Linked DNA regions of Astyanax mexicanus. The protein of the gene in region 3 purifies or fractionates together with the protein of the main gene of each other region. This does not show direct contact. Links are inferred from orthologs where the notes say so. Each region holds a gene or a part of one and is shown on either strand. Other genes may lie near its edges.

Region 1 (7,973 bases), on a different chromosome or scaffold from region 3:
ATTTATCAAAATAGATAAATGTGAAAAAGATATTTGATCATACATATGTAAGCAGAGAATCTGATGATGAGGCTTGCTTCCTTTGAACAGGAACTGAACTGCCCTACAAGATGGATTTTCAGGAAAAGATTCAGGAAGCAGTCTTCTCATCTAGTGAAACTTGAGAAATACTTTACTGAAAAAGAAAAAAACATGAAAAAAAGGCTTTGCAGTCAAATGGTCTGGCAATGTGTACAGATTAAGAACTCTCTCTGCTTGCTGCAGGCTGTCAGCTTGGCTCGCTGCTTAACTTGCTCTGGCACTTCACCTGAGCCTGTGCACAGCAGGTCGCCACACATCACTCAGATCAGTTGAGTTTAATAACTGCCAGACAGCTTAACGATCAGACAGCGCCAATGACTGAGCACTGACCTGAGCCCTGTCTGACTTTTCTATTATTCATTTAAAAAACTCTGGATTATATTGGGAGTTTCTGATGTTGACATGTCTGCTTTGCAGCACCTGTGATGGCCCCGTAAGGCTGGTTTGCGAAGAAACTGTTTACTATGAAAACAATCCAAGCTTACTGCATAGAGCATATAGGTATAGCTAAGTTTATCACATTGGTGTGACTTGTACACCTCAGAGATGTTCAGGTGTGTAACTAGCTAGTCCACTGTCTGGTCTGGAGTTCTTAATGACAGTCACAGTTTGCTAGCTACAGTATGAAAAAGAAACACGGGTAATCCTAATGAAATTCTCAAATTCAAATGTGAGTTTCAACTTATTGCTGCAAATAATGAATATTTTGTTATCTTACTAATCTGATAATCTTTTTTTTTCCAAATAGTCGATTAGCCACCGATTTCTGCCACCCTCTCACTAAGTTTTATCTCCCATGTTCAAGTCTGTGCACTTGTGAATGTCACCCTGTTTTCCAGTCTCTACCTTAACATTACACAAGTTTCCATAGGAAATTAAAAAATAACCGATAAAACGTGAATATAAACTAAGGCTTAGTAGCTTAAGCAAATGTAACTGTTTGAAATATCCCGCCCCTTTGCCTTTTAGTCCCAGCACTTTCTGTAGTGTGGTGCATTTACAAACAATTACTCAATATTTGGATCCCTAGTTTCAATGGATGTCAATGTGGCTCTTCATGTCTGCCCATGCATAACATGCATGACCACAGACTCCATAGGTCAAGCTTGTTAAACTGGTTTTCAGCAGCATAGGCTTAGTTTTAGTTTAAGTACTATGGTTTAGCTGATCTATAAGCAGGACCTGACCAGGTTAGACAACCAGTATGATCAAGCTTGACCATTATGGATGATCAGCATGCCCAACCAGAATGACTAGCCTGCATATCCAAGGACGGCCCAAATGCAAAAATCAACAGCAGGCTGGTCATGTTTTCGCCTGGATGTCCAGCTTTTCAACCACCTTAACCCCCATTGACCGCTTAGACAATCTGAAACCAACTACCAGCAACAAAAACTGGTTTTGAGCTGGATTTCTCAAGACAGTCATCATTCTCCTCCTTCTTTGACAGCAAAAACTGCCTTTTGGATTTCCACATTTGCTAACTAACCTTATATGTCACTGTAGTTGTGAACTAGCTCATACAACTTCCATTAAAGTTAAGGATTCAGGTCTGTGGGAGTAAAGCTAGGATATCTAGCTAGCCAAGTTAACATCTACTGCAGATGTAATTTTTCTATTTTGCATATTACCATCTATTTGCACTGCTCTTATAGTGTATATCCTTATTTGCATTTGCATTGCTGCTCCTAGTACATGCATACTGCATTTCTCTCTCTATATATATTTACAGCTCTGGAAAAAAATAAGAGACCACTTCAATTTCTGTATCAGTTTTTCTATGATTTTGCCATTTATAGGTATACGTTTGAGTACATTGAACATTGCTGTTTTATTCTATAAACCACTGACAAAGATGCAGAGCTTTCAGACCTCAAATAATGCAAAGAAAATAAGTTTATATTCATAAAATTTTAAGAATTCAGAAATCAATTTTTGATATAATAGTAACCCTGGTTTTCACAGCTTAACAGCTTTTATATATCTTGGCATGTTCTCCTCCACCAGTCTTACACACTGCTTTTGGATAATTTTATGTCACTCCTAGTGCAAAAAATTTAGCAGTTCAGCTTGGGTTAATGGCTTGTGATCACCCATCTTTCTCTTGATTATATTCCAGAGGTTTTCATCATTTTTAAGTGGTCTCTTATTTTTCCAGAGCTGTATACTGCACTTCTGGTTAGATTCTAGCTGCATTTAACAATAAAGTTTAATCCATTCTAGTTTAACACTACCTGACCTAGGTTAGCTCGCTAGCTAGGTTATATTAATGGCCCAACCAAGCCAGCAACTCCTTATTAACCTCTCCTAACCTACATTTGTCCTAATAGAGAAACCTACGCAGCAGGGAATCTGCACGTTATCATGTTAGCTGGACGGACAGCCCCTGCACTTGCTCCCGCTCCCCGGATCAACTCGAGCCTCGACATCAGCATCCCTGCAACCAGGCAAAGCGCTCAGCTAGCCAGCTAGCCGGTGACTAGCATTCATGCTAGGTTAGCTAACCTATCAATGGGTGCAGAGCTCCGTGTACTCACCATATTACAGATGGAGGCGATGTTTCTGACAGTCATTTAGTTCACAGGGTTCCCCTCGCCGACATCTTCATAAAACAAACATCACTGGAGAAGCTGCAGAGCTGAGAGCTGTAGATGATCCGCAGCCCAGCTGGACCAGGAGAGGCCAACCGCAGTGCCTGACGAGCCCTGACTCACAACACACTGATATTATAACGTTACCCCCTTAGAGCAGTGTTTTTCTCCACTCAGAGCCAAACAAACCCCCCGTCTAAAAGACAAACATCTCCAAAACAAAGCTCAATTCATTTTAGTCGCTAAAATCGAGCCGTTATTTTGAAATTCTGAGAGAAATCTGCAGTAAACATCACTGCTCTTGGCAGGTAACCTAGGTTAACTAGCCAGCTAGCCAGTCAGGACGCCCCGCCCACGCCCCGCCCACTCTGACGGCGAGCCGCTTTGAAGTTAGGGTAACCAGGGCTGGCTTTACTGTGATTGACATGCTGTTCCACCAATGAGAGCCATGGATCCAGTTCCGCAAACGCCCAGTGTTGTACACTGTAGCCAATGAGAGAATATTCATTCAGGAAATTATTGTGTTTTTAAAATGTGTCAAATAAACTACATATTAATTTCTGTTTATTATCGAATTATACTTATATTTAGAATACAAAAAAGGAAACGTAATTTTAACGTCTACTTTTAAGAATAAAAAAAATGTAATTACATTTATCTACTTTTTATTTTAATTACTTTACTTTAAACAAGCGTGTAAAATAAACATGACAGTAAGCTAATTATATTAAATATGTGTTGTTCATCAAGGATGTGAACAGTTAGTTTAGCTAACATAACATATGTTATTCAGAGGAGTCCTCTGTATGTGTGTAGTGGATCCAGCGCGTGCCTGTGTCTTTAAAAGTCCCATAATCCCCCTCTCTCTCCTCTCTGCTCGTTTCTCCCTCCTCGAGCCTGACTCTGGTCTTTCTGTTCTGCAGCTGAGAGCAGATGGAGCTGTGTCTTAGGGCGTGTTTGGAAGGTGAGAGTTTAGAATACCAACATTCATGCTGTGTTTAGATGTTAAACCTGTTATCAGATCTGCATCATTAAATCAGCTGCGGTTAGGTTTCATATGGATATATTTGTTGACTAGAGAAGTCAGAAATGTGCTGCTAGCTCTGGTAGTTAGCACTGCTAAATACTTCTGGTTAGATTATCGTTAGAGTATCTTGTTAGCTAACTAGTTAACTTAACTTAACTAAGTTATTGTTACTTAAACTTGTATTGGCTGCATGTAAGTGCGTTGGAAAAGTTTTATATTCTAGGCTGTAATTTTTTTAAACCCCATGAACACGTGGGAGTTGTGTGGTTGGGCCTACTTTATTAGCTACCTAGCGGTTAGCTTACCCATGTGGTACAGGTAGTTAGCTTACTACAAGATTTACGTTTTTATTAATTCCACAGAAACTGTAAACTATTGTCTACTGACAATAGTTATAATTATATTTATAAATATAATTATCTTGGTTTTGTCATTTGTGTTCGCAGTCTTCATGTTACTTCAATGCCTGTCCTTTCTGATATTCTAGGTTGGAGTTCTGAACCACCTGGTTAAGTGGTTTTTGAAGCTTTCAATGAGCACTACAATGGTAACTGCAAAGGTTAGGGTGTTTTTATTTTTATTTATTTAAAATCGAGATACATACCCCCTCAGTGGAGCTCATTTAAGACCATGCATGTCCTTAATGATCAATATACTAGGGGTAAAAAAAAAAATCTCTCAAAAACCTATGGCACAGGTTATAGTCCTTGCTGTGGATCCTGTCGGGAGAAACATGTCTAATAATTGACCTAAAAGTTTTAATAGTTAATCTTCTAACAGTAGCTGATTTTAAATGTGATTTCTTTTTCTTTTTTTCTTTTCTTTTTTTGTCATCTTTTCAGAAGTGGCTTGCAAGTGTGGATTCAGGCTGGAATAATGCCCTCTACACAAAACCTCAGGTGAGTCTTAGTTTTTGCCTTTAAATGACATTTTAATCTGAGTCATTCTTACTTCTCTGCATGTGAGGTAGTTTTTCAAATTTGATATGGTCGTTTACACAGGAAAGCTGTCCTGGTTTGTAGTTGGAACCCAGCACTTAGTAGGTAAAATTAACTGCTTAAGAGAGAAAGCAACAAGACTAATCAAATTTAGTAATGTTTTGGAAACATGCACACAATTATCCCCTTTATTGCCCATTTAGGACTGGCCATGTCTTAAATGGATAACACAGGGGGGTAGACTAATTCTCTCAAAAACCTGAAGTGAAGGCTTAATATTCCTTGCTTCGGATCCTGTCGGGAGAAACATGTTTTTATACGCATTAAAAATCAAAGATTATTACCAGTGACCATTCTAATGTGATTGCCTTATGTTTGCAGATAAGAGGTATGCAGATGTAGCCCCTGTCTGAAATGGGAGGTGTCTTGCACAAAGCTGGTAAGTCCTTTTAGAAATTGAGCTTTAAAGTTGCTTATACTTGTTTATCCCCTTTATTGCCCATTTAAGACCAATTATGTCCTAAATGATTAACACAGGGGGGTAGAAGAACTCTCTCAAAAACCTGAAGTGAAGGCTTAATATTCCTTGCTTCGGATCCTGTCGGGAGAAACAAAGTTTTCTTAAATACATTGCCAATTTTCTCAGGTTTGAATTCCTCTAAACCACCTTTATTTACAGATGCTGGAAAGACATGTGGATTGTGGCTGTTGCAGTAGGTGACCAGGTCAAGTTAGTCAGGTAAGCAAATTAACTTTTTAAAGGAATTAAACGAAGTTTAATTTTAAAGTTTAATCTGTTCATGCTCTAAGTTTCTGTATCTAGTGGTCATTGATTCTGTTACAGACTTTAGGGTGAGTGGGGGAAAGTCTGAAACTTAAAGTTCTTAAATGTCAAATCTGTTGAACCCCAGTAGACTATTACTGAATTTTGGTGCAAGATAAATCTGATGCTTTGTCTATATAATCCATTTCTTTTCTTTACCAGAATCTGCCTTCTGAGCCCTTGGATGCAGTGGAGCCCTGTTGATGCTACAGCCTTGACATTTGCCACAGCCTGTAATTTTAGACCAGAGGTCTTTTGCTCTGACCTTAAATCTAGATTGGAAAGTGCCATTATTAAAAGAGAATGAGAAGTTGAGTAGTGTGGGATATTTATTTTATTTTATTTTTTTATTTTTAAAATAATTAGTTTCTCCTTTTCTACCTCAATGTATTTTTCTAAGGTTTGATTGAAATTATTTCGTTGCCCCTTATACATTGACTTGTACAGCTTTGTATAACTTATGCTTTGCATGTATATGCTGTTATCATTACGGTTTTATTCCAAAGCCTATGATCAGACAATGTCTACGTAAAAATAAAGTAATGCTGGAACCTCAGTTGTGCCTGTGTATTTCTGATGGGCTTATAAACCTGGCTTGCAAATTGAAATATTTGTCCTTTCAATAAGGTAGGAGTGCAAGATGTGTAATGTAGTGACTTAACATCATGATGCTAAATTTATTAATCATGTGCTAGCAAAAATGTCAAAGTGTACAGTACTAAATGGTACTGTACTCAGAATCTTCTCTTTAGAATTATTGCCATTCTCCATTATTGATTTTAAAACAGTGTCTTTTTAATAAATGTTGTATTTTAGTAGTGTAAATGCTTAGCATTGTCTTCAAAAGCCATTTTTAGCCGATCCTGGGCTCGAAAGCAGCTTTCACACTTGATCAAGTGTACCTACAGAAAAAGCACACATGGGCCCAAAAGAAGAGCCTTGATCACAAGTGATTTGAAAAGGGAGAAGCACTCACTGTGTTGGGCCCTAGTGGTGAATACACTTAATTATGTGAAGCTCTTAATCATGGTAAGGAAGCCTATGTACTGATTAAAAACAGATTGTGGATTTGTGCATGCAAGTGACCAAAATGAACGCACATCTACATCCCAAAGCTGGTCTTACTTTTTGTGATGAGGGAAGCTAGGTGTAGAGTTGCTGCTCCTTTGTTTTGAGGGGAGTCAGTTGAAGCGGATTAGGAATCTGAAAAGGATCCCTAGTCAATTTCTAGTGGAGGTGTATTCAGTCTGACCACCTGCTATGAGACACAAGGGAATGCTGGGGATGTGGTAGAGGAAGGAAGTGGTAGTAGAATGAGCTGGGAACAGGGTTGTCTGGGTCTGGGCTCTTTTCTCACCTTAATTTTACTGCAACCATGAAATGGATCAAGCGGATAGGAAGATTTATAAAGAAAAGATTAAGAATATGTGGATCCCAATTACAAGCCTTACATTGCCTATCATGACGTTTTATAAATGCTTATTAGAAACTTAAAATGCTTGACCCCTACTTCTGCCATAATCTGCCCCACCCAACGCACTGATCTCTTGTCTGGCTGAACGAGCGCTCTTACAGTGCAAATTAAGTTCAAATTCAGAAATCCTCTGAACCAATTTTACAGTCCAGTTTATTATGCATTCTTTATTTCAGCACCCTACGTTGATTTTATCTCCCCTCAAACATACAAGTATATACTATTATTTTGATTGACATTATCAATATACATATAATTGCGTTCTTTCTTTGATTTACATTTAAATATCCACTATAAAAATATACATCAGAAGAAAAATAAATGCGTTTAATCGCAGTTAATCACAGAATTTTGTTGTGATTAATCTGATAATTTTTTTGAATCCATTGACACCACTAAAAAATATACTTACCTGGTTGTTGTCCTTTGAGGGTCTTTCTTCTTATTCTTCTTTTCCTCGTGAATGGCGGTTGACAACGACTTTGGTGTATTACCGCCACCGCTTGACTGGAGTGTGGAACAGTAGCTGCCTCTTCTAAGAAATGAAATGCGTCTAATTAGACCTGTCTCTTACAGAAAAGTAAATAAAACAATATAAAATCTTTCCAATATTTCTTTGTAAGATATTTTTTAGACTGAATGCTGTGTCATTGGCCTCTACTTGTTCAATCAGAGTCTGTCTCTCTTGCTGGAATTTCCTACAGTGAATTAGGACATGCTCTACAGTTTCTGGGCTTTCCATACATTATTCACAGGTACCATCAACATGCCTGTTCATTCTAACAAGAGTGCTGTTCAGCCTACTGTGCCCCACCCTCAGTCTGGCCAATACCACTTCCTCTCATTTTGTACCTTGGGGGTCTTTCTGGGGAATGGTGGCCATCTTAACTCCCCTTCTTGTAGTATCATGGTGCTCCGTATGTACTACAAGATGGGGGGGACTTCTTATTGGAACACCTGGGGGAGAGAAAAGTTAGTACAAAAATATGTTAATACTTACCATCTAGTGAAATTTCCAAAAATCTGTATGTAAGTGTGG
Region 2 (6,996 bases), on a different chromosome or scaffold from region 3:
ATGTTGGTGTGTCAACTACTTAAAGATGTGCAGCGTTGTGCATGAACGTTGTTCCACATTTATTGAATACATTTATATTTTTGTGAACACTGAACTGAAAAAATATGAACTAAACAGGTTTACAAATAGTTAAAGTTAGTGTTGTTAACTCTCACACTACTGAATGTGCAGCCAGGCCACAGTAAATAAAAGCCCCAAAAAATGTGAGAAATACTTATTTTGGTTGTACATGGAGTCTTAATATAATATACTCTTTTAACAATTTGAAGGGAAAGAATTGTGCACATATCTTAAAATTGATTGGTGGGTAAAGCTGGTTTGCTTGAGAATGTAAACTCATGAGACAACGGGACTGAAGCTGTTCAGGTAAAAGAATGTCTATGGTGTGAGCCACATCTTTATTGGCTTGTGTAATGTAAACAACAAGGTCCACATAACCCCAGTTAAAAGCAGATAAATGTAGCGTAGTGTAAACTATACAACAATGCAGAGATTTCTGTGATTAGCACCTGCTATTTTTCATTTCTTTAGAGCATTATGGCTACACTTCTATTTCTTTTACATAAATGACCAACATTAAACCCTGAGTCAGTTCACTCACTTATATATAAAAGACTAATGTTGATCTCTTTAACTGAGCATCGTGGCACACAAACTTACATCTTTGAATAAAACATAAATGAATAAAAATCATAAATGTTTAGTGTATCCATATAGTACAGCACTGAAACTGTGTGTATATCTGCCATCAGTACTGAAAAAAACATGCCACACAATTGAGTAGCTAATATTTACAAACAGATATAAGAAATAAAAGACATGAGACAAAATGTAGGTTTAAAAATAAGTTTATTAATAATATTCTCTACAAATAAAAAACAACACAATTACATTAACAATTAAAACAATAAATATTATTAATAAAAAAACATTTTAAAACAGTTCTGAAACTTCAAAACAAATTCTGATATATTTTGAAAATGTGTAATGTTTTTATTATTTTTTACTGTTATAAAAGTTAATTGTTTTTCGTAATGGTTTATTATTTTAAAAGCTAATTGTTTATAATGTTTTATTATTGTTATTGTTTTATTATTTATGGTATTGTTTTTGTAATGTTTTTTTAAAGCTAATTGTTTTTTGTAACGTTTTATTATTTTATAATATTTTAAAAGCTAATATTTTTTGTAATGTTTTATTATTTTTTCAAAAGCTAATTGTTTCTGTTTTTTTATTATTTTTTATTGTTATAAAAGTTAATTGTTTTTTGTAATGTTTTATTATTTTACAATATTTTAAAAGCTAATAATCTTTTGTAATGTTTTATTATTGTTATAAAAGTGAATTGTTTTTTTATTTTTTATTATTTCTATTGTTATAAAATGTAATTGTTTTTTGTAATGTTTTTATATTTTTTAATATTTTAAAAGTTCATTTTTTGTAATGTTTTATTACTTTTATTGTTTTAAAAGCTAAATGTTGTTTGTAATGTTTTATTATTTTTATTGTTTTAAGAGCTAGCTGTTTTTTTATTACTTTTATTGTTTTAAACGATAACTATTTTTGTTTTATTATTTTTATTGTTTTAAAAGCTTATTGTTTTTTGTAACATCTTATGATTTTCATTGGTTAAAAGCTAATTGTTTTTTGTAATATTTGAATACATTTTATTAAGTAAGTAAGATTAAGACTAAAAGGGGCAAGGAAAAACTGTGTACTACAAAACTAAACTTAGTTAAGCTAATTAAACAAATAAATAGTTAGTTCAACAAAATAAATTGAAAATTAAAAAGTAATATAAAATAAACTTATCAACTCTCTAAAAATCATAAAGATTATAAATGTATCAGAAATGTAAAGTTATACAAAGATAAGATAATTAAATAAAGGATACTGGTAAAAAAGGATATTGATGAATCAGAGGCGAAGTTTCTTGCAGGGTGGTGTCCAGTCGTCCTCGGTGAGCACAACGCAGGGCCCCTTGCGCTTGTTGTTCCTGGGTGGTTGAGGCTCCAGGCGTCTGCAGGTGGATGTGGTGAAGCTGGTCCTCTCGTTCCACTGTAGATCCATGTAGATCAGGTGAGCAACCAGGCTGTACAGGAACCACTTCCAGTACTCGGCTCTGCTGGGTGGGGAAGTAAAAGGGGTAGTACAGACCTGCAGATGAACAAATAAACAGAAAAAAAAAAACATCAGTGCTGCTCAAAACCATCTACACTCATTCACTATTCAATCAGCTACAACTGCACATGTACAGATGTACAGATTTTATGTGAGGATTCATGATTATGAGAGAGAGACTAAAGAACTGATAATAGAGAACTTACCGACTTCGGGGAGGGAGATGAACTGCAGAGGAAAATCCGGACTGAGGAACACGTAAGCCTCGGAAGAAGGACGCCCCTCACCTGTAATCAATAACATCAGATATTTTATATATCATAATTCCAGTATATTGGGTTTGATTGACTGGGGTCACGTGACTTTCTCACAGCGACGCTATAATGTGGATTTTCTTCAGAAAGCTTTTCTATAGCGGTTCTGAGTTTACTCGGGTTACTGTATATCAGGAGTGCAGTGCTGTGTGAACGGGGCTGATTCTAGTTCAGTTTTATACTGAAATACAGGAAGATTATTCATGTTTCTTACCGTGCAGGCGGGCATAAACTGGTCTTGGGAAACCGGGGTGATGCTCCTCCAGCCAGTCCAACAGCTCCTTTCAAGCATTCAAACCTAAACATTCCCAACTAACTGCTTCAACTAAATTATAATTTATATATATATATATATATATATATATATATATATATATATATATATATATATATATATATAATACTAAAACATGTTACTCTCTTTCCACACATTAATAACGTGACAAAATTGACAGCCTGGTGAAACATTAGCTGTTTGATTTAGCGATTTAACAAAGCAACGCTTACCTTGCAATATTATAATACAGTTGAAAAAGAGGTTCTAGTCTGCCAGGCCTAAACCACACTACACTACATGGCTACAACATACACGGCTAATTCATACATTTATATGTAAATATGTAAATTAGCCATGCATATTTTATTCTTTGCAATAGAATTGCATTGAAAATCTTTTTGGATTGATCTTTGTTTAGACCTGAAGAGAAGGTTGGGTACGGAAATTCCCAGTCCAGTATGTATTGTATATTTTTGATGACCCTTCCTTTTGGTAAATTTCATATACACAAAACAAAATTCGCCAAACATTTTTACATTTAGACATATAATTATAAACACCTACTGACTAGTTTTCGACACATATCTATAGATATGTTTAAGCTTTTCAATTTTATATAAATCCCTTTTCTTTTTTGCTTGTGTTTGTTTATGGTTTGTGTCTGTGCTTTTGTGTTTTTATAATCATGTTTGTTTGAACTTTTTTTGTGACCTAATATTGTGTTTTCTTCTGTGTTTTAGATTGTATGTTGTGTAAATGAAATCGCCTTTAAAAAAACGGCGCGCGTTTTTTATTCGACTCGTGATTGGACGATGTCTTGGGTTGAACGCTTCCCCGCTTTTAAAAATCATAGGTCGAATCAAAACCTAGCACGTGCGGCCCTTTTTCAGCGGTGTAATCGCTTCATCGGTCTCGTCGGAGTAAAAAGAGTGTCGCGTGTTAAAGTAGAGACATCCAAATCAGTTTTAAATCAGTAGAGATTCGGGTGAGACTGAATGAAAAGAAGAAGCTGCAGAAATCGAGGAACCCGCCTCTCTAAGGAGCACCGCGGACACGTGATGAGACGGGTGGTCCCGCGGGTTGCCTGTGCAATAAATAAAACATATTATCTGGTTTTAATTTATTGTGTTTTAAAGAATCACACATTTCAGAGTTGCGTTCGCTCGCATTCGTGTGTGATACGCTGCTGTTTGTGCATTAAATACTGGAATATTTGAATAAAGCGAGCGTCATTTTTCCTGCAGGCGATGAAGGGGGGAGAATTTGGGCGTGCATCTGCTGGAAAAAGCGCCCGCCAAAGTTGTTCGCTGCGGCGAGAACCTCTGCGAAATCTTCTGCGTATGCAGCGAGTTTAAGAAATATATACTACAGAGAACCCACGGTAAATACAGCAGATCCTGCACGAAGATGTAACCGAGGATGTGAATAAGGCGCTAGGTGGAGCGTGTGCGGTACAGGTTTGTGTGTTTGGTTGTGTTTTTAGACTGGGCTGTAGTTAGGTTAGGTTAGGTTAGGTGAGGTGGGAAGTTGTAACGTTAGTTGAGGGCAGCGCGTGAAGCTGTTGGCGCGAGCTGCACTATGTTTGGCCAGCTTAGTTTAAACTGTGCTCTGAGCTCGAATACAGATCAGTAATAATAGTTAGATAGCTAGGTTAATGTTTAAAGTGAATCATGGAAAAAGTGTTGTGTCTACTGTTATTTTACTGGGCCCGCTTATGTAACTTTTAGCTAGCTTAGCCAAGATAGCTGGTGTTGTGTCGAGCTGTGCTACCCTGTCAAATCGTGCTACCCTAGCGTGTATTTAAACATAAAAATGCCAGAAAATCGACATATTTGAAAGTAGTATCGGTATGATTGTTGTAAAGCCTAAATCAATATGTCAGGGTAAAGTAAAGGAAAAACAACCCGTTTTTTTATTTATATTTGTATTGGTTGTGTTATTACTTATTATTATTATTATTATTATTATTATTATTATTATTATTATTATTATTACTATTATTATTATTATTACTATTATTATTATTACTATTACTTATTATTAAGTGTCATTTACACAATTGTATACAACTATAAATAATGACAGGTGGTCCGGCTTTTTTCACCCGATTTAAACAGAATTATCGTAAAAACAAACAAAAAATTGCTTAAAATTTGTATCCGCGCTTGCGCGCTAGTGGTAAAAGCACATATCGACATGTACCGCAACTCGACTCAACACCCTCCCCGACTAGCTAGCTGCCTAGCTACCTTAACCTAAAGCTTCAGCCTATACCTTTTCGGTTTGTATTGATTGTTTTAATGCACGATATAGATGTTTTGTTTTCTTCCTTTTCTTTGTTATCTATTTTTTTTTTACCTTTTTTATGTGTGTATGTTTTGCAAAAACAAAATAAACTAAACGAACTTATTAGCAGCACGTAACGGGAGCTGTGGGATAAGTTGTGGCTAGCCAGCTAGCTAGCGCTGTATTTACCCTCAGTCGCATGGGCCACTCATGGCCAGCAATGTTCTAGGGTTAAGTTAACGTTAACTGTTTTTTTTATTTTTAGTATTTTTATTTTAAAATAGTCTGTAGCCAGTAACCGTACCTGCACTGTCTGTTTTTACTGGATTTTTAAGGGAACAAACCATACGTCGACTACGTTAGCTAGCTAATTTAGGTAGGTTAGCAACTACCAGTTGTTTGCATTCAGATAAATGTATGATAGCAAAGTAACGTTATTTTAGGTTGCATTACTATCTGCATTTAATGTTTATGACGTGAAAACAACCTCTAAATAATTTTGCTAATATTCTCTCATAGGCATCTGTCACACTATTCTTGTTTACTTATCTTGTATCTTATTTGTTATTTAGTTTTATACATTACATTTTCTACTCTTGTACTGTACAGCACTTTAGTTGGCCCTTGTGGTTTTTAAATGTGCTTCAGAAATAAATTTGACTTGATTTTACACTACAAGCCATAAGATTAGAATACAAACAAAATACAAAACCAGTCAGAAGTTAAGACACACCTCCTCTCATTCAATCTCATTCATTTTATTTTCGTTTTAAATTTTTTTTACATTGTAAATCTAACATTAAAAAGACATTAATGCTATACAGGAACACATGCACAATTATTTTGTAAATTATATGGGTTAAACAAACCAGAATATGTTTTATACTTTAGATTCTTCTAAGTAGCCACATTTAGCTTTGAGTACAGACTCTTGGTATTTTCTGAGTGGTTTCATGAGTTAAAGTCACCTGGAATAGTTTTCTCAGCATTTCTCAGTTTTCTCAGTTCCTGGAGGTGCTGAACAATAGTTTCTGCTTTTCCTTTACACTGTGAAGCTCCAGCTCATCCAAAATCACCCATCTCATTCAGGTTGAGATTTTTTTACTGCATAATTCCACGTGTCCCTTAATTGTTTTGATGTCATAAATATTAATCTGCAGTGTAGGAAATTAAAATAAATAAAAACAGTGAATAGGAAGTTGTGTCCACACTTTTTCACTGACACTGTATATACCCTGTAAGTATAGATTAACATGTACAACATGAATACACAAAACCGTTGGATGTTGGATCAGCCTAAAATTAATGTGCACATATAAATTAATTCTGATGTTGGATGTCAATGTTGTTTTTAATACATCAGAGATAGAAAAATGAGTGTTGATTTTAACATGTTTGTCCTTTTTTCCCCCCTTTCTTTTTCTTCAGGTTTGTCATATTTCAGTCTGATTTCGCTTGCAATTTCTCTCTGTTGCGTTGAGCAGAATGCCTGGCCTACAGGCTGAAGGAGTGGTGGCTCCTCTGGGAAGCCCCAACAAAAAGAGCCGCCTCTCCCTCCGGTTCTTTCAGAAGAGAGAAACCAAAAGAGCACTGGACTTCTCTGAAACTCCAGTAGAAGAACCAAGCACAGCTGAACCAGAAGAAGCCCAAAGGTGTGTGACCTTACAGTCAAGTCACCCAAATTAATGACACAACATGTAACCAAAAGTTTGCATGAAAATAATGTTTTCTTTCTTCATGTTTTCCAAGTTGTGACCAGGTGGTGCCAGTGCCTTGTCCTTTTTCTGTTCCTTGCGAGAAGAGAGAGAGCCTTGTCCCTTTTGTAGGTCTTAACAATCTGGGAAATACATGCTACCTGAACAGCATCCTTCAGGTAAGTTTACCAGTAGGACACTATTTAGGTCCATTATTTTGTGCAACGGTTTATACACCATAAATTGAACATTGTCTTTTACTGCAGGTCTTGTATTACTGCCCTGGGTTCAAAGAGGCTGTGAA
Region 3 (7,918 bases):
ACTGCTCGAGGTCTAGTGTGAAGTTTCCACCAATCAGTGATGGTTTGGAGAGACATGTCTGATATCTGCTGGTGTTGATCCACTGTGTTTTATTATCAAGTCTAAAGTCAAAACCAATGTTTTCCAGCAAAATCTTACGGCACTTAATGCTTCCCTTTTTATGGAGACTTGGCACACTGCCCACAGTACTGCCAAAAGTACCAATTGGTCTTATATAATATTCTAATTTTCTGAGACACTGATTTTTGTGTTTTCATTGGCTGTAAGCCATAATCATCAACATAAAAGTAATAAAGACTTAAAAAACCTTTAAATGATATTTACATTTTTGAGATGCACTAGTATATAATGTATCTCTGCTTTCTTTGACTTTTTATCTTGTTTTTTGACAAAATAAATGTCAATGGTGCAATTAATTTTGAGAATGTAAAAAGAGAAGTCTCCTTAAGTTATCACTAAAAGCCTGTATACAGCTTGCTTTATTTGCTTCATGTGTCCCATGACTTTTGCCACGTCGCCTAAAAGCTGTGGGATATGTGTGTGTGGGGTCTTCTGCACTGATTATGGATGTGATTTTCTGCCCGAGTCTCTTGTTTGTACTTTGTTGTTTGCATGGACAATTCTAGCCAGATGCCACCGGTCGCCATCACTACCACCCACAGTGGTACACAAGATAACACCTCACAACTTACACAGGTGTGGGTTCCCACGTCCTCAAGCCATCCCCTGAGGTAATTCTTCACAATCAATTGTTCTCCTTTTTCCATATGTTTTCTTTCATTGGGTATAATTGGCTCTCCTGAGAAGCATTCATCTAAAATAAACCCCAGGAGTTTGTTTAGATGGTTCTCTTTTAGGTTCTGGAACCACAGAAGAACCCTGGGGTAGAGTCTATGATTATCTGTTACACTGCTGCCCTCTTGTGGTGACATAGGAGAACTGTAAAATAATAATAATAATAATGTTATGTATTGATAAGAAAACCATACACGAATTATCCTGTAAATCACTATACTGGAAAGGTTATATCAGTACGTGATGAACTGCTGAGTCTGTGATAAGACAGATATGATAAAGTATAGAGCCATTGTGTGTTTCAGTAAAATACTGAGTCATTATGCACTGATGTCATGTTTAAAGGTTTGTGCTTTTCCATCTTAGTGACAGCATCCACTCTCACGTGCCTCACAGGGAGGATGTAGAAATAGCTTGGAGGAATGGAGTAATGCTGCAGTCTGTGTCACAGGTGAAATCACAGTATTTCTTACTGTTTTTCATGGAGTTTAGTAAAACACTCAGTATTCTGTAAGTGCCCTATATCATTAAAATAGCTTAACTAAATAAAATACGAAGAAAAATAATATTTTGTATTACAATTCTGACTAAATCCCTCTGCTAGTAGGTTTGAAATTGAGTTTCTTGTGTACTCAGTATAAAAAACTGGGCTTAAAAACCCTATATGGATAAAGGTTGTGGGATGCCTATTAATTTATTGATTTTTTCTGAAATCAAGGGTATTAAAAACAAGTCTGTCATCTTGTTGTGTCCCGGGGATGTCTTTCTTCTAGATTTTTGAAGCACTGCTGTGAGGATTTGGTTGCATTTAGCAATTCATCGCATTCAAGCATTGGATGGAGCTCCATCATTCCATAAAACCTTTTATCTAGCCCACACGTTCCATTAGATTAAGCAAGGCACCAATAGGTTCATTGTATTTATCTATTTTAGGGACTAGATAAGCTGTGTGTACAGTGGTTAAAAAAAAGTTTGGGCAACCCTGATAACTTTTATTATTTTTCTTTATAAATCATTGGTTGTTCAGATCAGTAATTTCAGTTGAATATATCATAAAGCAAACGAACACAGTGATATTTGAGAAGTAAAATGAAGTTTATAGGATTTACAGGAAGTGTGCAATAATTCTTTGAAAACAAAATTAAGCAGGTACATAAATGCAGGCACCCTTATGGTCAAAAATACCTTCAACCAGAAGCCAGCCCTCATTGGAAGCTATAAGAAGAGTTTAGAGGCTGTTATTTATGCAAAAGGAGGATCTACTAAATATTGATTTGATGTATTTTCTGTTGGGGTCCCCACATTTATGCACCTGCCTATTTTAGTTTAAAGGATTATTACACACTTTCTGTAAACCCTATAAACTTAATTTCGCTTCTCAAATATCACTGTGTTCATCTGCTATATGATATATTTAACTGAAATTTCTAATCTGAACAACCAATGATTTATAAAGGAAAATCATTATCAAAATGATCAGGGGTGCCCAAACTTTTTCAGACCACTGTCTATGTGTGCATTAGGACGTCTATGTGTCAGCAGTAGGTGCATTCACAAACATATATTTGAACATGTAGCATATTTAGGGTTACTTTAAATATATAATTCTTAATAAAGATAAATAATGACATTACCTTAAATAAAAAAGTGTATGTTTGTTGTTCTCCATATAGACTTAAAATGGATTTAAAATACACACATTTTCCTCAAGTAAACTCTGTCCACTGGCCACAATACCTGTCAAAAGTTAGGACACATCTTCATCAGCTGAACTAGTCAAGAGTTAATTACTTGAATTTCTTGTCTCATAATAAAGTGTTTGAGAGCATCAGTTAAAGTAAAGTAGTGCAGAGGTAGAGTTACAGGTATACAGTGAATAGGGAATATTTGAGTAATGTTCTAATCCAGATTATGAGAAGCAAGAACTACTCAACTAAGTAAAGAAAAAAAAGACAGCAAAAAAACATTAATAACGTTAGGATGAAACTGGCACTCATCAGGACCGCCCCAGGAAAGGAAGCGCAAAAGATTCCTTTGTTGCACAGGATAAGTTCTTTAGAGTTACCACCTATGGAAACCGCAACTTAACAGCTCCCCAGATAAGAGCACCTAAATGCTTCTTCACAGGGTATTTTAGTTTGTTTAACACTTTTAATTTACTACATGATTCCTTCATAGCCTGGATTGGACAGTTTTTACTACCCAATCGTAAAGTCTCTACTCTGAATCTGTGTTGTTGTGTGTTGGCTTACCTTGTGGGTCTTTGTTTAAGGTCTGTTTTTTCTATATATAGATAAGCACCCATTACATAGTGCATATGGCCTGTCACCTCTACTTAGTTGGGCTGGTACAAAAAAGGTTAAATATTAAACATTAGAGGCATTTTATTTATCTTTAACACGTGGTTTGACAAGTGTGTGTGAGACATATGAAGTGACCATGTTCAGGACTGTTTAAATTTGAACTTTAAAACCATATATAAACTTTGTTAAGCCTATATTATCAAGGTGAACTTGCTCTTTGATAAGAATGAGACACGCCCATGAAATACAAAACTAAGCATATTGACTTTGTGATGATCTTTGTGATGCATGACATCAAACTGAATGTATATTTTATGATAAAATCTTTTACAGCTATATACATAAGTGTGACGTCTTATAAAACTAGCCTCTATTACTTTTTGTTATATGTAAATTATTATACATTACATGTCCAGTTGTCCTGTAGAGTAGAAGTACTAATAGATTAGGACTGATAACCACCCTGTTTTAGTATTGAAAGTGGTACTTAGAAGAATCTAATGTATAAAACATATTCTCATTTGTTTAACCCCCTTTTTATGTTGTTGTTCACAAAATAATTCCATGTGCCATATCGTATCATACGCAAAAATAGTGCAAATTTTTGAACATATAAAAAAATACCTCCATATTGTGATATTGTAATATTCTTTGAAGCTGTCTATTTTGTATTTGTTTTCTTATTTACTGTATTTATTTTTAATTGTTTGTTTGCAGTTTATCCACAGGCACTAAATATACTTTTGTTTACTGGTACCAACAGCAGCAGATTACATGACTCTCCAAACCATCACTAACCATCAGCAAATTTTACATTTCATTTGGAAATAAAGTAGTAGTGTGAAGTTTCCACAATCAGTGATGGTTTGGAGAGACATGTCATCTGCTGGTGTTGATCCACTGTGTTTTATTATTAGGTCTAAAATCAGTGCAGTTTTGTTTTCACGCAAAATCTTACAGCACTTCATGTTTCCCTCTGCTGACAACTTTTATGGAGATGAGGATTTCATTTTCCAGCAGGACTTGGTACACTGCCCACATTGCCAAAAGTAGAATTTGTCTTAAATAATATTCTAATTTTTTTGAGATACTAATTTTGGGGTTTTTAATGCCTGTAAGACAAAATAATCCACAATAAACTAAATATGCGCTTAAAATAGATCACTCTGTGTGTAATACATTTATTATAATATAAGAGTTTCACATTTTGAACTGAATTACTGAAATAAGGCAAATTTTCTAATTTTGAGATGTAGATTGTTTTGTTGTTCTGTAATTACATTAAGCTATTTTTCCTACAATTTATTTTTTTGTTTACTATTATTTTATATAAAATTAAAGTCTCGGTAAGTTACTTTTTATGAAATAGACAAATGTTTATAGATTGTACATAGAAACGTTTAGATTTATGCTGAATAAAATGAAAACAAACATATTTTTGCAGTAGTATTTTCTTGAAATTAATAAAAATGTATAATATGTACAAAAAAATAATTAATAGCAAAAATACTATTTTATAAAAAAAATATTATTTGGGGGCAATATCGCCAACCTGTAGTTCCTGTATAGCTTTTAATTCCTGGCCAAAAAATATTGTATTCAAAAAGAAAAAAAACATGAATCATAAAAAGAGATAAAAACACAAGATTTTTTATATATTTCCTATCATTTGTCACGAAGCACCTGTTTTGGGCGTTCCTGTTCTCATGAATAATTCATTAAATCCGAAGCCCAGGAATGGGCAGTGCCTCATGAATAATAATTAGCCCCGCCCTCTACTGTTTATTGAGCGCGGATCTGACAGCCGTGCGATTCGGTCCCATTATGGCGTCTCACCGAATCAGGATGGGCTTTTTCCGCCGCCGCCTGTGCTGGAATTTACCGCTGGTCAGCTGCGACGCGACATCTGGACGTTTGGGTTGAAAACGGGACGTAAATGTAGGCGAGAGGATGAAGGACGAGGAGAACGCGGCGAGGCCGGTGCGGAATGCCGAGGCGGACGCGAAAAACGGGGCTGCTGTGGAGGACGGCGACCGGAGCGGCGCGGCGGTGGCCGTGGCGGTGACTGGATCTGCGGCGGGGGCTGGCGCTGAGGCTGCGTGGACCAAGCCGAAGCCGGGGCTTGTCGAGGGGGCGGGAGAGCGCGGCGCTGTGGCAGCCCGGGGTGGCACCACGGGGATACGGGTTTTAAAGGTAACACATCTGTGGCGTCAGTTATTTATCTCGTTAACTAGTTAGTTATGCGGTTAGTTAGCTAGCTAGCTGGGTTACCGTTACCGAGAGCTGTGAGCGAGCGGCTGCGGAGGGATGATGTTCCCGTTAACGAGGGCCGAAAGGCAACAGCCTACGTGTGTGAATAGCATCGTGAACAGCATCGAGAACGCCTCGCTCGGAACGCCATTGACCCCCTCCCTCCCTTCTCCCACCCGTCCGTCCGTTCAGCGAGAGATGATGATGATGATGATAGCTAGCTGTCTGTACCCTGACAGGAGCCGGGCTCTCCGGTTAACCGGGTTTACACCCAGCGCCCCGATCCTTCCCGCCCTTTTGCTAACTAGCTACAGCGCGCGACCAGCTAACTCACACCAACTGTCACTTTTATAACCTGTTAGCATCGTGGCTAAATCTGCACCTCTGAGGTAAATCTTTAGTTGAATCTGTGAAAGCACTATGTAGATAAAGATAAATAATCAATAATAACGAAATAATGAAAGCTGACTGCTAGATTTTAAGCTATATCGATACCTTTTTAAAGTAAGTTAAGTTAATTGTAATGTTTTTAAAAAACAGCAATGGTTTAATACAGTTAAGCATACACTTAGAAAAAAATACTATTAGCAAGTAAAATGATCTAATTTCCATGCAATAAATCTTAGTTTCTCTATGATAAAGATTTAAGCACCTGCTGAACATTTAAAGGGCATTTAAATCCCACAATCCGCTGTTTCTAGTTTGCTAGCTAGCTAAAGCGCTGGACCTGCTAACTTACACCAACTTTCACTTTTATAACCTGTTAGCATCTTGGCTAAATCTGCGCCTCTGAGGTAAACCTTTGTTAAACTGTGACAGCAGGATGTAGATAAAGATAAATAATCAATAATAACGAAATAAAGAAAGCTGACCGCTAGATTTTAAGCTATATTGACACATTTTTAAAGTAATTGCAATGATTTTTTTTTTAAAACAGCTATGGTTTAATACAGTTGAGCATACACTTAGAAAAAAAATAGTATTAGCAAGTAAAATTATCTAATTTCCATGCAATAAGTCTTATTTTCTCTATGATAAAGATTTGAGCAACTGCCGAACATTCAAAGGGCATTTAAATCCCACAATCCGCTGTTTCTAGTTTGCTAGCTAGCTAAAGCGCTGGACCTGCTAACTTACACCAACTGTCACTTTTATAACCTGTTAGCATTGTGGCTAAATCTGTATGTCTGAGGTAAATCTTTAGTTGAAACTGTGAAAGCACTATGTAGATAAAGATAAATGATCGATAATAACGAAATAATGAAAGCTGACTGTTAGATTTTAAGCATTATCAAAACTTTTCTAAAATGATCATAATGTTTTTCAATTTTTCAGGAAAAACAGATAACATATCATAGTTGTTATGGCTATGTATAAAAAACACCAGTGGTTTAATACAGTTGAGCAGTAACATTACATTTCGAAAAAAAAATAATATTAGAAAGTGAAATGATCTAAATCTATTTTTTCTATTAAAAAGATGTAGGTATAAGAGTATCAACTTGGCCTATGTCTCTAAAAGTGCCCAAATACAACAGATTCCATATTGACTCACTAATATCAGTCAGTTCCACATTTAAGCATCTTATGATCATTTAAAGGGCATTTAAATCCCATGTTTGACTGTTTGTAGTTTGTTAGCTGGCTAGCTATCTAAAGTGCATGACCAGTTAGCTTACACCAACTGTTGATTTTAGAACCTGTTAGCCTTGTGGCTAAATATGTATGTCTGAGGTTAATCTGATAAACTGTGACAGTACCAAATAAATAAAGATAAATGATTGATGATAACGAAATACAAAAAGCTGATCGCTAGATTTTAGGCTATATTGACACCTTCATAAAATAAATGTAATGTTTTTCAGATTTTCAGGTAACAAAAAAACATAGTTAACAGTTGTTATGACTATATATTAACATTTTAAGATGTTTAGTTTAGCATACAGCTGTACACAGCAAAAAAAAAAAAAAAACTTAGCAAGTAAAATTATCTAATTTCAAGGCAATATATTTTTTTTACTCTTGAGCAATTTCTGAGCATTTAACAGACATTCAGTTCACCACCAAATTCATCTGATGTAGGATTCTAGTTGAGATAGTCAGGGCCCTGTGGAAATATCCAGTTTTAAGGACGGTTTTTGCTGGTAGCAGGGTTCGGATGGTCTAAGCTGATCTTTAATAGTCAAACTGATTGAAAATCTTATTCTTCAGACAAAAACATGCACTATAGAGGTAAATTAACTTGTTAACCAGCTCTTGACCATCATAATGTGTGTTGAATTTTATTTTAGGCGTACTGATGATAATGTTTGTAGACCAGATAAACAATCAAACACTAAAGGATATATACCCTATAGTGGTCAAAATCAAGGCTGGTCAAAAAACAGCATCAGCATGACCGACTTGAGCTGTATATTCAGCAGGGGGGGCAACTCAGTATGCTTGAGGTCACACACACCACTCCTTCCACTTTCCCGTCAGAAGTCATTCTGTTCAAAGATGATAATGTTTGTAGACCAGATAAACCATTAAACACTAAAGGATATATACCCTATAGTGGTCAAAATCAA

What was found. Proteins that work in one complex are often made in the same cells at the same time.
Region 1: the proteins of phlpp2 (region 3) and usp46 purify together in Homo sapiens (affinity purification with mass spectrometry; 4 studies listed by BioGRID and IntAct, counting the BioPlex papers as one, with this or other methods). This does not show direct contact. The link is inferred for Astyanax mexicanus from reciprocal best matches to the Homo sapiens genes PHLPP2 and USP46.
Region 2: the proteins of phlpp2 (region 3) and usp1 purify together in Homo sapiens (affinity purification with mass spectrometry; 3 studies listed by BioGRID and IntAct, with this or other methods). This does not show direct contact. The link is inferred for Astyanax mexicanus from reciprocal best matches to the Homo sapiens genes PHLPP2 and USP1.

The regions. Positions count from the first base shown.
Region 1 is NC_064408.1:65,042,583-65,050,555, reverse strand, and holds the start of usp46 (ubiquitin carboxyl-terminal hydrolase 46), read right to left. Parts: upstream 3,017-7,973; 5' UTR 2,655-3,016; coding exon 2,619-2,654; intron 1-2,618. UniProt on the Homo sapiens protein: Deubiquitinating enzyme that plays a role in behavior, possibly by regulating GABA action. May act by mediating the deubiquitination of GAD1/GAD67.
Region 2 is NC_064412.1:23,424,412-23,431,407, forward strand, and holds the start of usp1 (ubiquitin carboxyl-terminal hydrolase 1), read left to right. Parts: upstream 1-3,980; 5' UTR 3,981-4,169; intron 4,170-6,426; 5' UTR 6,427-6,483; coding exon 6,484-6,650; intron 6,651-6,747; coding exon 6,748-6,871; intron 6,872-6,958; coding exon 6,959-6,996. UniProt on the Homo sapiens protein: Negative regulator of DNA damage repair which specifically deubiquitinates monoubiquitinated FANCD2. Also involved in PCNA-mediated translesion synthesis (TLS) by deubiquitinating monoubiquitinated PCNA.
Region 3 is NC_064423.1:38,447,803-38,455,720, reverse strand, and holds the start of phlpp2 (PH domain leucine-rich repeat-containing protein phosphatase 2), read left to right. Parts: upstream 1-4,902; 5' UTR 4,903-5,048; coding exon 5,049-5,291; intron 5,292-5,538; exon of another isoform or gene 5,539-5,737; intron 5,738-7,918. UniProt on the Homo sapiens protein: Protein phosphatase involved in regulation of Akt and PKC signaling.